3 linked regions of the Ovis aries genome follow. The protein of the gene in region 3 purifies or fractionates together with the protein of the main gene of each other region. This does not show direct contact. Links are inferred from orthologs where the notes say so. Each region holds a gene or a part of one and is shown on either strand. Other genes may lie near its edges.

What was found.
Region 1: the proteins of VAPB (region 3) and PITPNM1 purify together in Homo sapiens (affinity purification with mass spectrometry; 5 studies listed by BioGRID and IntAct, counting the BioPlex papers as one, with this or other methods). This does not show direct contact. The link is inferred for Ovis aries from reciprocal best matches to the Homo sapiens genes VAPB and PITPNM1.
Region 2: the proteins of VAPB (region 3) and FAM83G purify together in Homo sapiens (affinity purification with mass spectrometry; 3 studies listed by BioGRID and IntAct, counting the BioPlex papers as one, with this or other methods). This does not show direct contact. The link is inferred for Ovis aries from reciprocal best matches to the Homo sapiens genes VAPB and FAM83G.

What each region holds. Positions count from the first base shown.
Region 1 is NC_056074.1:41,789,852-41,793,894, forward strand, and holds the start of PITPNM1 (membrane-associated phosphatidylinositol transfer protein 1), read right to left. Parts: upstream 2,801-4,043; 5' UTR 2,623-2,800; intron 1,714-2,622; 5' UTR 1,673-1,713; coding exon 1,595-1,672; intron 152-1,594; coding exon 1-151. UniProt on the Homo sapiens protein: Catalyzes the transfer of phosphatidylinositol (PI) between membranes. Binds PI, phosphatidylcholine (PC) and phosphatidic acid (PA) with the binding affinity order of PI > PA > PC. Regulates RHOA activity, and plays a role in cytoskeleton remodeling.
Region 2 is NC_056064.1:33,980,534-33,984,786, reverse strand, and holds the start of FAM83G (protein FAM83G), read right to left. Parts: upstream 2,801-4,253; 5' UTR 2,763-2,800; intron 2,306-2,762; 5' UTR 2,214-2,305; coding exon 1,707-2,213; intron 1-1,706. UniProt on the Homo sapiens protein: Substrate for type I BMP receptor kinase involved in regulation of some target genes of the BMP signaling pathway. Also regulates the expression of several non-BMP target genes, suggesting a role in other signaling pathways.
Region 3 is NC_056066.1:57,608,626-57,613,647, forward strand, and holds part of VAPB (vesicle-associated membrane protein-associated protein B/C), read right to left. Parts: intron 4,308-5,022; coding exon 4,227-4,307; intron 2,445-4,226; coding exon 2,268-2,444; intron 1-2,267. UniProt on the Homo sapiens protein: Endoplasmic reticulum (ER)-anchored protein that mediates the formation of contact sites between the ER and endosomes via interaction with FFAT motif-containing proteins such as STARD3 or WDR44.

The DNA.
Region 1 (4,043 bases), on a different chromosome or scaffold from region 3:
GCAGCGCCCGGAACCAGCCTGGGATGTGGGAGCCCACGTGGTATACCTTGTGCGTGTACTGTCCACTGCCACCCGGCCCATCCGTGTAGGGCCGGTTGGCCAGGATCTCCACGCCACTGCCCTCGCCACTCGACTCCTCTCGGCTCTTTTTCTGCAGCCCAGGGCAAGAGGAGGATAGGCACCTCAGTCCTAACTCCATTCCTGGGACGGGCTCCCCACTTAGGCCTCATCCCCAGCGCAGCTCTGAGGCCTGAGTCCCAGCCTTTCTAGCTCTCTGAAATTCCACCTGCTCCCCTATAGCTACTGGGGTCAGGATTATAGCCTCTGACCAGTCCCCTCTGGGGTTCTGCAAGCCAGGACTTGTTCAGTCATTCAAGTATTTGCTGTCTGCTCTATTCCAGGCACTGTCCGGGCTTATATTCATTGCGATCTGGTGATGTACAGAGTAAAGACCCCTGCCTGCCCTTGTGGAACTGTACACTCCAGCGGAAGGAGACACAGTAGACAGAAAACAGAAAAAAAGCATCTTAGAGGGTCCTAAGTGCTGTGGTAAAAAGAAAGCATAGACTAGGGTTAGGTGGATAGAGTTGGGGGTTGCAGTATTGATAGGATGGTCAGGAAAGGCCTCACTGAAAAGATAACATGACCATGATTTGAAGATGACTTGGGGGGAAAAGGAGGGTGCGGGGCAGATATGGGGTGGGAGTGTGTTTCAAGCAGAGAGAGAGCCCGTGTAAGCTCCTGAGGGGGACAAGCTGCATGCCCTGCCAGCAAGGGGCCAGGGTGGGCAGGCTGGAAGAATCAGGAGAGTAAAAGGGATACCCGCCTTTCTAGGACCCCAATACCAGCTCCTGCCACACCCCTCCTAGTTGGAGAGCACTCAGATCCTGTCCTTATGTAGCTCAGGAGTTTGAACATGGCCCACCCAACCCTCTGAGGCCAGATCCCAACCCTCTTGCCTGTTCAGATTCTGGTCCCACATTTCAGGGGACGCCTCTGAAATGGGCACCTGCCCTGGCTCTAGCTTCTCCTCCCAAGCCTGACTCCCTGCATGCTTCCTCTCAGCCCAGATCTCACCCTCTGGGGTCCCTGCCTGCTCCTCTGACAGCCTCCGGCCCTGAGCCTCAGCCCATCTCCCTGACCGTTGGGGGTGGCCAGGTTCCTTCACCCTCTGGGAAACCTCTCCTAGTCTTTCTCTACCCCCTGGGACCCCTCCTCACTTTCTGCCCCCCACTCTTGACTCCTCATGCGCTCCTCTCCCTACCCGCTGAGGATTACGGATTCTAAGGAGGATTAAAGGAGATCAGATAGGGGTTGAGCGTTCAGCAGGGGCTGGGCACTCGGGGAGGCACCACCAGGCCCTTCGGTCCCTCTTCGCACGGTCCTTAATCACCCCACCCCTCCCCCACATCCGACTGGGGACGCGCTCTCTTCTGCTCTGGCCTGAGCCCTCCTAAGCCTCGGGGCTGGACTGGCAGGGGATTGAGCTGAGCCCGGCCCCTTATCCCAGGTGTGGCCTGCGCACTCCTGCGGATACCCAACATGAAGCATGTTCCCATCCCCTCCTCGGCCTCCTACTTGCCACCGCCCTCACCTGGATCATGTAGAGCTGGGCCACCTGATATTCGTCCAGGCTCATGGGCAGCAGGATGTGGTATTCCTTGATGAGCATCCTGAAAGCGCTCGGCCGGCCGCGCGCGGCCTCCGCGGCTCCTGGCGCAGGGCACCGCGCGGCCGTCAGTGCGGGGCGGCGGCGCGCGGCCCCGAGCCCTGCGCGCGGGCCGAGGGGCTCAGGCGCGGGGACCCCATGCCCGGGCTCGCCACAGGGCAGGCAGCGGCGAGCCCAGCTCTGCAGCCAGCGCCGCGGGGGGCCGGGAGCCGCCGAGAGGCTGAGCGCTGACCTCTTTTCCGCGCAGCCCCCGCCCCCCGCCCGCCCATCGCCATGGCAACCGCGCGCTGACGCGGGCCCCCAGGAGCCGCGGGAGGTGGCCGGCGGGCTGGCGGGCCAGCCTCGCCTCTCCGGCCGCGGCGGCGTCCTAAGCCCCTCGGAACAGCATCCTTTGGGGACCCGCCCCTGGAAACCCCGGGGCCCCTCCTTCCGGGCCGCCTTCCACCACCGGCCCCTCGGGGCCCGCCCCCTGCATCCCTTTCCCCGAGTCGGTCCGTGTCCCCACTCCTGGACGTCCACTTAGAACCTTGTCCCCCGCGTCTCTCCGCGGAGCAGCCCCGGGCGCCCCCCTCCCCCTGCACCCGAAACTACCTTCAAAGACTAGATAACACTTTCGCCCCGAGACCTGTCTTCCCCACCCTGGCGGGCAGCCCAGTCCCCAACTCCCCCTTCCCCGCATCGTTCCTGGACCCCCGGCACTCGTCTATGCAGCTGCCTCATCCTCCTTCTCCAGGGCTGACCACACTCTTCAGGCTCAAGCTAGAAGTACCCTACGGGCCCCCGCCCTGCAAGCTGCTCCGTCCACCTGCGCCCCGACTTCGCTGCCGCCGTACCCCCACCTCGCACCCACTGAGCAAGCGAGAGGCCCCGTTGCCCCCACTTCCCTCTGCTCCCCGGCGTCCCCGTCGCCCGCCGTGCTCTCGATCGGCCCGCCCGCCAACGTCCCGGCTCACCTCTAGTCTAGGGTGGACGCCCCTCACCCAGTACGGGCGGGGGCCGACGGGCCGCGGGTTGGAGCCCCGAGCGACTCCAGCCCCGGCCGCGGATTCCAGCAGTGGCCGGACCCTCTGGAGGCGCAGCGCGGGCCCATGGCCCCGACCTTCCTCCCGGTCTGCCCGCCGGCACCCCTCCGGTCCCTCCCCGCCGCCCGCCGCGTCACTGCGGCCGCCCCGCCCCCTTCCTGGGCGCGCGGCCCTACCCACCCCGGCGGGGTCCGGGCAGCCCCGCCCACGGCGGCGGAGGGCGGCCTCAACCTTCCTTCCTTCCCCACGGCGGCGGGGGAAGAGGCCCTTCTCCAAATGCTGGCGCTGCGTACTCCGGCCGTGTTATTTGGGATCCCCAGACACTCTGGGATCCTTCCTCCACCCTGGCCCGGCCCTCCAGTGTGCTATGGAAATATGACAAGAGTCTCAGCCCCAACTTCCCGGGCCCTGGGAATCCGGGGCCCAGGGTGGGGGAAACGCCTTCCCGTCCCAAGTCTAGCCAGCGGCTGGTCTCTGACATCACTGGCCTAGCCGGTGGGGTTCCGGTGTCCCAGACCGCCAGGTCATTCAGAGGGCTGCAGTCACTTTCACTTCCAGTCTTGGGGCTCCTCCCTGAACGGGGCCCCAGAGCTTTCCCCACCTGTGTCTTCCGGGTTCACAAGTCTGGCCAATAGCGCCCAGATCGTGGGCAAAGGCTGCCAGGGCCTAGGGCTGGGCTCTTGGGACCGCACCCAGTTGGCTAGAGGCACTGGGTCGGTGCAAGGCAGCACCGCACAGGGTCTCACCCACACTGGGGAAACCAGTTCTCTCTCGACTGTTTCTCAGGTCCCAGGGGTGGGGAAGCAGCTCGGCTCCTTTTCCTTCCTCTTAGGACTCAGAGATAGGGTGTATTCCGAGCCCCAGGGCTGATTCCAAGCTTAGGATGTTAGGGTGTTAAGGCATGCGAGGGTGGGGCTTAAGTGAACTGGCATTTCCACCCTCCAGGCACCTTTAGTCCAGAGAAAGAACCCTCTAGGTTCAGGCTGGAGACAGAGCCCTCCAGCTGTGGAAGCAGCCCAGGCTTTGTGCTGCCCCCTGGTGGCATCTTGTGAAGGAGGGCAGGGCACTCAGCTATTGGAGTTCAACTCTTTCCACAAACAGCTGGCAGGCCGAGGGCCAGGGAAGGGCAGGGTCCCACTCAAGGTCAATGGGCTGTGGAGGCAAGGCAAAGCTAGGCTTAGTGGGCCTCCCTCCCACTCACTGTACCCAACCATCTCCCTCCGAGTCTCCTCTTTCCCTTTCTTCGTGGCCCGCCCGGGCTTAGCAGAGGCACCAGGCTCAGAGAAACTATGAACTGTGTGGGCTTCTCTGGTGGGCCAGTGGTTAAGATGCCATGCTTCCAGTGCAGGGGC
Region 2 (4,253 bases), on a different chromosome or scaffold from region 3:
ACAGAGACAAGAGAGGAGGGAGGAGGCCCTGGTGCTCAGCCTGGCCCCAGGCTCCCCTGTCTGGACCTGGCCATCTGTCTTTCCATCTTGGGGTGATAAGACTTTTCAGCTGTTCCTGAGCAGTCTGGGCTCTGGGATCTACCTCTTTCCTACTTCTACTGGGGAGGAGAGGCGCCCCAGCACGGCAGGTCAAGCCCCCTCTACCAGGGTCTCAATTTCTCCATTTTTAAAAAGGGGGTGGAGGCTGGGTAATGGGATCCAACAGGCACTCCTAGGGAACTGGGATCCACGATCTCAAGCCTGGCACCCACGCCAGCAGCACCCCCCTCCGCCACAGCAGGTTATTCAGTCTGAAAACTGATGGTTCCTCCATCCCACCTCTTCCTCACTCTGACACCCGACTCCATCCTCACGGCTTTCATCCCCGCCACCTCCGTTTCACAGAGCAGAAACCCAAAGCCCCAAAGCTGCCTGGGATCAGGCCGAGAGCCAGGTTCCCCAAGATAGGCTATCCGACCCTGCCAGCCCCCTCAGGAAACAGGGACTCCACCTTTCCAGAAACTTAAGCCATGGCCAGCTTGTCAGTGCCTGACCCACTTCTGGTCTCTTTGCCCAAAAGCTCCCCTGGGCCCTGTCAGCCAGGATGATTCCCCAAGGCCACTGTCTAGGTTTTGAGCGGGCCCAGAATAGTGAAGGGGCTCGACTCAGCTAGAAATACCTTGCCCTGCCGGGCCAAGGCCAGAACAGGCACTGCTGATCACTTACTCCTCTCTACTGAGTCCAGAGCTGGCTTTTGAATCCTCAACCCTGCTCATGAGGCAGGCTTTATCAGTCATCTCAGAATGTGCCTTGAAATCCATGGAAGCAAGAGAAGGCCCCGCTTATGGTCACGGCTATCCAGCAAGGGCTTGGCTGCCTGCCAGTGGAGAAATCCCTTCTCAGAAGGTATGTCAGTGTGTCAGCTGAATGGATATCCACAGCGGGACAAGGCATAGCTCGGCTGGGGTCGCTCCGAGGGAGGTCCAGACAATGCCTGAGGTCCCTTCAATCCAGGTTGACAACCCTCACTGGGACCTGCTCTGCTTCCACCCCCAGGAACACACCATCACCAGTCCCCACCTCCCACTCTGGGAAGGTTCTGCCACTGCAAAGCTTGCAAAGAGGCTCAGAGAGGGAGAGCTACTTGCTCTCAGTCACCCAGCACAGCAAGGGAAAAGGCACAGTTGAACTTGGATCTCCAGGCCAGCCTCAGGCTACTTCTCAGTCTCCATGCCTACCCCAGGTCCCAGACTGTTTCCACCATCCATAAAAGCAACACCAGAGCACTCGGGAGCACGTGTGCGCAGGAACCTCCTGCTTCTCAGAGCCATCCCGGCGGACAGTGAGGGGAGCCCTGTGATCCTTCCTGCCCCACCCAAGCACCTTCTTCTGGGGAACCTCCTCGCCAAGTCTGAGGAAGTCAGAAACACCCCCCAACGATGCACAAAGATCCTTTGAGCCAGAGCAGCCTGCTGTCAGCGGACAGGGGATCCAGGTGCCCGCTCTGCAGAGAAACCGAGGATGCCGGCGAAGGCAGCAGGGAGGCGGCCCAACAGGCAGCCGAAAGCCCGGGCTGGGCTGAGTGCACCCGTGTGGACGCCTGAGACACCGGGACAGGTCAGGCCTGCCCGGCTGCGTCTCTTGGGGACTCTGGCCGGCCGACTCACCTTCTGGGCCTGGCTGATCATCTTGCGCACCACCTCCTTAATGTGGGCCTGCCCGTCGATGGGGGGCTGCATGTAGACGCTGGCCCGGGTCACGCCCCGGTAGGCGATGGTGTCGGGCCAGCCCAGGTCCAGCTGTGGGATGGAGCGGTCCGACTTCTGGGGCCAGTACTCCAGCGAGGGCAGCGGTTCGGCCTCGGTGGGGGTGCCCTCGGCCGCGCTGGCCGCCTCACCATCCTCCGGCCCGCGCGGCTGCGCGCCGGCGCGAGGGTCCTCGGAGCCGGGGTCGTACACCTCAATGGTCTCCAGGATGCGCCGCAGCTCCAGCTCCGAGAGGAAGTCGCGGATGTTCTCGCGCTTCAGCACCTCGTAGAAGGCGTCGCGGCCGCTGGCCGCCAGCGCCTCCAGCGCCAGCCGCTGCTCCTCGCTGTAAAAGAACTCGGGCTTGGCTTCGCTGGAGCGCCAGTTGACGTGGCTGTCGTCCAGGCACTGCACCTGCGAGAAGGCCATGGCGGCCGCGCGCTCCGCAGCTCCGGGCCGTCTCCGGCTGGGCGCTGAGCGCTCTGGGGCCTCGGGCCGCCGCCGCTCCTCTGCCCCGGGACCTGCGGGAGGGGCGGGCCGGCAGGGTCGGGTCAGAGTGCAGGCGGGGCCGGGGAGGGGCGGCCGCGCCGAGGAGGGGCCGGCGGGGGGCGGGGGCGCACGCCTCCCGCCCGGGTGCCGGTACCTGCTGGGGGCGGGGGCGGGAGCCCGCCTCCCGGGGGATTTTTGGAGTTGCCAAGGTCCTGGCGACTTCTGGGGGGAACTAGGGGCGGCGAGGGACTCCCCAGAAGTTCCCAAGAAGGAGGGTCCGAAGTCTGCTCTCCGACGACCTCTGGCCCTGCTCGGCGGCGCCCCGCATCCCCAGGGCTTCCGGGGTGGGAAGGGGCCCCCAAAGCTCCCAGCGCCGCGATCGGCACCCCTTGGGGTCTGCGCGCAGTAGGTTCAGGCCGGCGCGTAAGCGGGCGGGTCTCCCCGGGGCCTAGGGTCGGGGGTCAGGGGCGCGGGCCGAGGTTCGCTTACCGGGCGCGCGGGCGGCGCGGGCGCTGGCTGCGGTGACTAAGTGCGGCCCCGCCCACCCCGCTGCCGCCACCTGCGGTCACGTGCGGCCGGGGGCGGGGCCGGAAACATTCACCCCACCCCCGACAGACAGACGTCTGGCGGGTGTGCGAGTGTCTTCGCCGCCACCGGCCCCAGATGGCGGAATTCTGAACCGCTCAGGGACCAAAATCCAAGCGCTTCTGGGCCATTGCGGCCCAGAGAGGGACAGTGTTCTCCTGAGGACACACAGCAAGGCGATAGCCTTGACACGCCCCCACACTGCTGGTAATCCTGGTCCAACCCGACTGTTTCCAGTTTTCCAGGTGGGACAGAAAGCATGCACAGATGCTCACCCGCTGTGGAAGGAGAGTTGGGGTGCTGGGCTGGGAGCCTCTGAGGCAGGAGCTGGGCCGCTCTGACCCAGCCTCAGGGGCCCTCCCACAGCCCGGCGTGGACAGGGCAGGCACCCAGTTCTAGGTCCCAGCCCTGGCTCCCTGCTGAGAACAACACCCCCCAACCCCCAGGAGTGGTCCTGCATGATGAACCGCGCCAAGGCCCTGGGGCGAGGAGGGCCCGAGAGGGCAGCTGTGGGCTGGGGTCAGGCCCAGCTTTCTGTCCTGCGTCCCTGGGGCTTGGGACCCTGGTGACGGGGGTGCGTGGGGACCACATCTGAAGGCAGGCTGCCAGGGTGGGGACAGCAAAGCCCATTAAACCTCACCAACCACAACCCCCACCCGTCGCGTGCCACAGCCAGTCAGCCAGGCATCTGGCCCAGCCTTCCCACCCCCTCCCAGCCATGCACCGGCTGCTTGTGCTCCGCTGGGCTTGGGGCGCTGAGGACACTGCTCTGTGATGCAGAGGGTTGGCTGTTGACATCTCTAGGCCTGGGCCCTAGAAAACCGGCCTCAGGACCCTCTCCACCCGCTCCCACCCTGTCTGCCTGTCAGGCCATCTGCCCTGGGCCCCTCAGCAGTGGTGCTGCCTCCCGGCCCAGTGTCTCTGTGCTCCCATCACTGTGTCCTGCCCTCTGCCCTGGCCCGGGGGCTTCACACTGTGTCTGAACACGGTGCCCCTTCAGGTGCCCCCAGCACCTCCCAGGTAGGTGCACACACACCTGCCTCCCCACCCTCACCCCACACAGTCAGACTGGGAGGGAGGTGCCCCCGGGGTGAGCACGGCTCTGGGAGCCCTGAAGCCTGGCTAATGGCCTCTGCAGCTGGGGACCCAGACAAGACTGTCTCTGGGCCTCGGCATCTCCTTTTGCTCTTCCCCTGCTCGGAGGCCCTGGGCTCATGAAGGGAGTCCTGGCTCTCAGGGCTGAAGGGCCTCCAGCCCTCCAGTTACCTGCCCATAATTTTAGAATCACAGGAAGCTGTTGAAAAGCCAACAGAGAGCTTGCAGACACTCTTCACCCAGTCTCCCCCAGTGGTGCCATCTTGTGTAACCACTGTGCGATAACCACAGCCAGAGAGC
Region 3 (5,022 bases):
AAAGCACCAGAAGTGGAAGGCAGCAGTACAGCTTAGCCGCGGTTTGGCGGGGGCTGGGGGGGGGGGGGTGGGCAGGGAGTTATGCCCTGACTCCATCACACGAAATGGTCCCCACCTCCTCATTTTGCAAATGGAGAAACAGCCTACAGAAGAGACTGGCTTGAGGCCCCTCTTCTTCCAAGCATCCACCACAGTGCTGCTGGTCCCTTTGTTTGAGCAGGGCACTAATGCGTTTCTCTGAGATTTATAGAAAAAAGTTCTTCACAGAAAAGAATCCCAAGAAATGACCGAGTAGGGGACCTGCATGCTTTTAAATGTAGAGCTCTGTCCATGGTTGATACTTGGTGAGTTACACGGAGACTGCTGGACTGAAAATGGGATGTCTGTAATATCAAAGTATAACTGAACTGGATATACACGTCTCAAATATTTTCTACTTAATGCATGGAATTTCTACCAAAGAAGAAACAATCTTTTTCATACACATGAAGATAACTTGGACATTTTCCCCACCTACACAGACCTGTGAGAATCGACACTTTTCCTTTCTTCACAAGCCCAAATAGGGCATGCATCAAGGCCTTCCTGTTCTAATTACCCTCAATCCACCCCTGACACCCTCCACAACAGCTGCACTTTCTTCTCTTCTCCTTCAGTTCGTTCACACTAATCAAGTGTCTGACAGATCTGATGACAAGAGGCAGCCAGCACCTTAAGCCCACCCCTCACAACACTCATGGCCACCTCTGTGGGACTGGTTCAGTATTTGTGTCTCCCCGGCTACCCTGGGGCTTATTTTAAGGGCAGGGACCACCCACGTCTGTATCCCACAGTGCTGGGCACACAGGAGGGTCTTAGCAAATGTGTGGCCAAATGAAAGTATGAAACAACACAAAACAAGAAATCCTTGTTTGGCAAGATAAAGAATCTTCTAATGTCAAGACTGGTCTGATAATATTTTAAAGACACTTTGCTTGAGGGGCATGGCCAATATTGCTGCATGCTGATAAATGACTGGTGCTATTCGATTAACTTCAAAAAAAAAAAAAATGGGCACAGCAAAGTACAGCATTTATTTTATTGGGTTTATATAGAAGCTATTTCCACCTATTTATCACTTTAAATGGCAAAGAAGAGAAATACATTCAAGAAGAAGCTTTAGGCGTATCTTAGACTTTTAGCCAAAAGTAGAGTGTCAGCCTCATAATTTACTCCATACCAACAGCAGTCACTGAATGAGGCAAAGCATGATTACTGCAGAGAAAGACAAGGATGCCACTTTCTAAACCCCGTTGGCCCCCCATGTCTCCTACCTCATCAGAGTAACAGAAGGAAGAGTCACCTGCAGTGAATTTATGGTGTGTACCTGGTGCTACGCAGTCAGGGAGTGACAGTCTATGGTGGCTGGGGACATGATCAAGATGAAAAGAACAGATCAGCCTCAAGACTTAAGCTGCAACAAAAGATCCTACAATCAGATGTTCAGAAACACTCTCTTTAACCCTGTGTATGAAAGGCATACTTTCAACACTGGAAGGGCCTTAACAGGGTCTTGCAAACAGAGGCCAGAAGCCGCTGTGATGGACAAAGTTACACAGTGAGTCCAAGTTTGGCTGGTCATTTCCACACTACCGCAGGCCTCCAAAGCCAAGAGGAGCACACCTGCCTCGCTCCAGCACCAGTGCGACCTCACCCCCCAGCGCCAGGCCACTCGCCAGGTCCAGGGCCACAAGCTGGAGCCCCTGGTTCCCTGTAATCTCCCCCATGGATGTGACAGCATCCCAGCTCCAGTCTCCGGACCATACTGATAGAGGATGAGACCCCACTGCTAGACCTATTTAGGATATTCAAAAATCAGAATGATGATTGCCTTAAAACAGAATACACGTCAGTCTTTACTCTCTTCAAAAAGATTCTCATCCAATGGGGATGGAAAAGGGGCTTGAAAATGTGAACTCAAGATAACCATTGTTGTTTTTTTAATTTCAATTTACACTAATGGATTTTTTATTTGTCTGTTGTCATTTTATGAGGAGACAGGAGTTTAAATAGTTGAAAAAATACTGCTCAAGGGACACTGGTTCTTACTTTGGGATGCACGTAGGCATGTGTCCAGGGATTGTTTTGAGAACCTTAGGAAACTTCAGCCTGGAGGAAAAACGTGCAAATACAAGACAACTCCACAAATTGCATCAACCTCCTCACCCAAGACCATAGTAGCAAAGCCCCAATTCCCTGAAGACGATCAGGAAACAAAATGCCATTACCTTGAACTGCTTGTTCTCCTCCCGCAGCCTCTGGACTTCGCTCTGCAGCCTCTTACACTCTTCCATCACCTTCTTAACTTCAGTGTCATCCAAGGAGGAACTCAGAGCTTTAGACACCGTTGGTGTTTCTGTCTTTGATGTAGTTGTGGGTATAATTTTATTTATTTCTACATCATGCTGTTCAGAAATAAATGAAAGCCCAAGTGTCACCAACCACGTATTAAAGGACTTCTTCATGCAAAGTAAAGTAGGTCTCAGCAGACACCACCCAGGGTAGCGTTTCATCCAAACTGTACAATGTCACATTTTTTTAAAACAGATCACTTTATCACCTAGTATCTTCATAATCTAAAACTGGGCTCCAGAAATTATGGATGAGGGCAAATAATGAAGTCCGGCTGAGACTAATACTTCAAAGAAAGAGAAAAGGGGCTGTGCGCACTGCACTATCAAATTCCTGCCATGAAAAATCAGCAGAGCATAGCTGCACAAGCTCAGGAATCATCAGCCACAAGTCACTATGAAGACGCGAACATCCCCCAAACTGGCTGGGCGGGGGCAGAAGGCCAGAGGGGACGTAACCCAGAGGGTGATTTGTCTCCTGAACTTAAGACAACTGCAGCGATGGGATGAAGGTGCAACAAATTCAGTGTCTATGGTATTTCATCCTGGGGAGGCAATGTGTTCCTCACTTCCCCAGCCACGACTGCGCTGTGATCCCCTCTGAAGACCTACTGGGGATGAGTGAGTATGTGGGGGCCGGGGAAGCATGGAAGCCCTTGGGGGTCCATGCAGCAAACGGAGAACAGCGAGCTCTACCCTTAGTCTCCCAGGGGAGAGGAGTGAGGCCCTGGCAAGCAAGACCTCAACACACAGAGCTAACCTCCAAGAGCACAGCTGGGGCCAGAATACAGTCCTCAACTATCCACAACTGACAGAACATGCTGTGGGAAGAGGGAAGGGAAAAAAGGAACGAAGACCACCAATCATTCGAAGAAATGGGATAGTGACGGTGGTCCATTAGTGAGCAGAAAAAAAATGCTAAGTAGTTTTGACACAAAGCATCAGCATTCCTGGAGATTGTTATGGATAACGTTGAGAGTTTGAACATTTCTATTCCCACCACCAGCTATTAACAGCCAGGGTGGTTTAATACTCTGCATGGGTTTTAAACTGTGTTAACACAGTTTAAGTTTTTTGACTAGGGTGAAGGGAGGTTCATGCCAACCGGGCTCATGCTTTGGTTTCACACAGAGAAAAGTGAGCCAGCAGCTGGGAGGGAGTCACTCCTTACCCTCAGTGCTCAGGCAGCAAAAAGGGTGATTCTCAACGGGAACTGACTCTGCCTCGGGAAGGGCATACCTGGCAACATCCAGAGACGCTTCAGGTCATCACGACCAGGGATGCTACTGGGGTGAGGTCAAGGATGCCACAACACACCCTGCAAGGCACAGGACAGCACCATAGCGAAGGACTCCTGGCCCGAAAGTCAGCAGGGCTAAGGGTGAGAAATCCTCATCTAAAAGCACATTTTGACTGAAGAGAATCTGGGGTTCAAGAGGTGGAGAGTTGGTGCTCAGGAGAAATGCAGACAGGGAAGCCTGCAGACAGCACTGTACAAGAGGAGCTGAGCGCTCACCGTCTTTCCCACTGTTAAATATAATAGCAACCTAGAACTTTGCCCAAGTCAAAGAAGCTCTTCGGAATTTATGACATTTCAACAGTCAACAGGTTGTGCTTTTCAAAGGCAAAAAAAATTTCAATGAGTTCTTTCTGTGAATCTTTCAAAGGCAGATTTCACAAAGGCCCACTTATTTGTTGACTTCAGCGAATTTTTCTCTTCATACATCAGAAGAAGGAAAATAATTTGCCAACTTAAATCTTGGTTTTGCAGGAGATGGTATGCAAATAAGTATCAGCTTGCAACATTCAATTATTGTTAACTATAAACATACTTACTGGTTTATCATTTTCTGCTGGCAATTCAAACACACATCTAAGTTTTGAATCCATAAGGTCTTCCGGTTTTGCCTCCTTCCACTAAAACAATTTAAATTCAATAATCAGGATATTATAAAGCTGCTAGAAGAATGATTTTCTTCCTATAACTGACAATTTCAGAAAAATACGCTTAATGAGAAAGCCCTGATGTACATCAAATAAAGAACTTAAGTCTGCTGAGATTTCAATATTTTTAACGTGACAAGATTAAATACACCAGCTCCCCTGAATATTGATTATTCTTCACCAGCCCCAGTCGTGCTGCCTGACTCCTCTGTGTCCACCAGAGCTCCTGTCACCAGGCTGTGAAAAGCACACAGGACAGAGAAGACCATCACTGGACCCAGAGGAGTCTTCTAGCCTGCATCCGGATGGCCTAAGGACATCTGGGCTCTCCTTAAGAAAATACAACTTACTTAGCAGGGCATGTCTTTCTAAGCGGAAGCCCATACTACTTGGAGGTGATTTTAGAACACTGCCAACTACCAGCAGGGCATGGGAATGGGAAGGCCACTCTCTGTGACCCCTACTGTCTGGGCTGAACCCCACTCCCTCAGCCTGCTGGGAGGAACACGTTCCTGACTAAATCCATGTTCTGGGAGGAGGCACTCCTGGCTTACTGCTCCTCGTTTTGGCAGAGGAGAACAGGAATCCCAGATGTTCTGAGAATTATAGAATAAACCAGCACAGCAAGAAGGTGATACAGCAAAAGGAACAAATCCCCCCACCCTGGCCCCAGAACCATGCAAGAGGC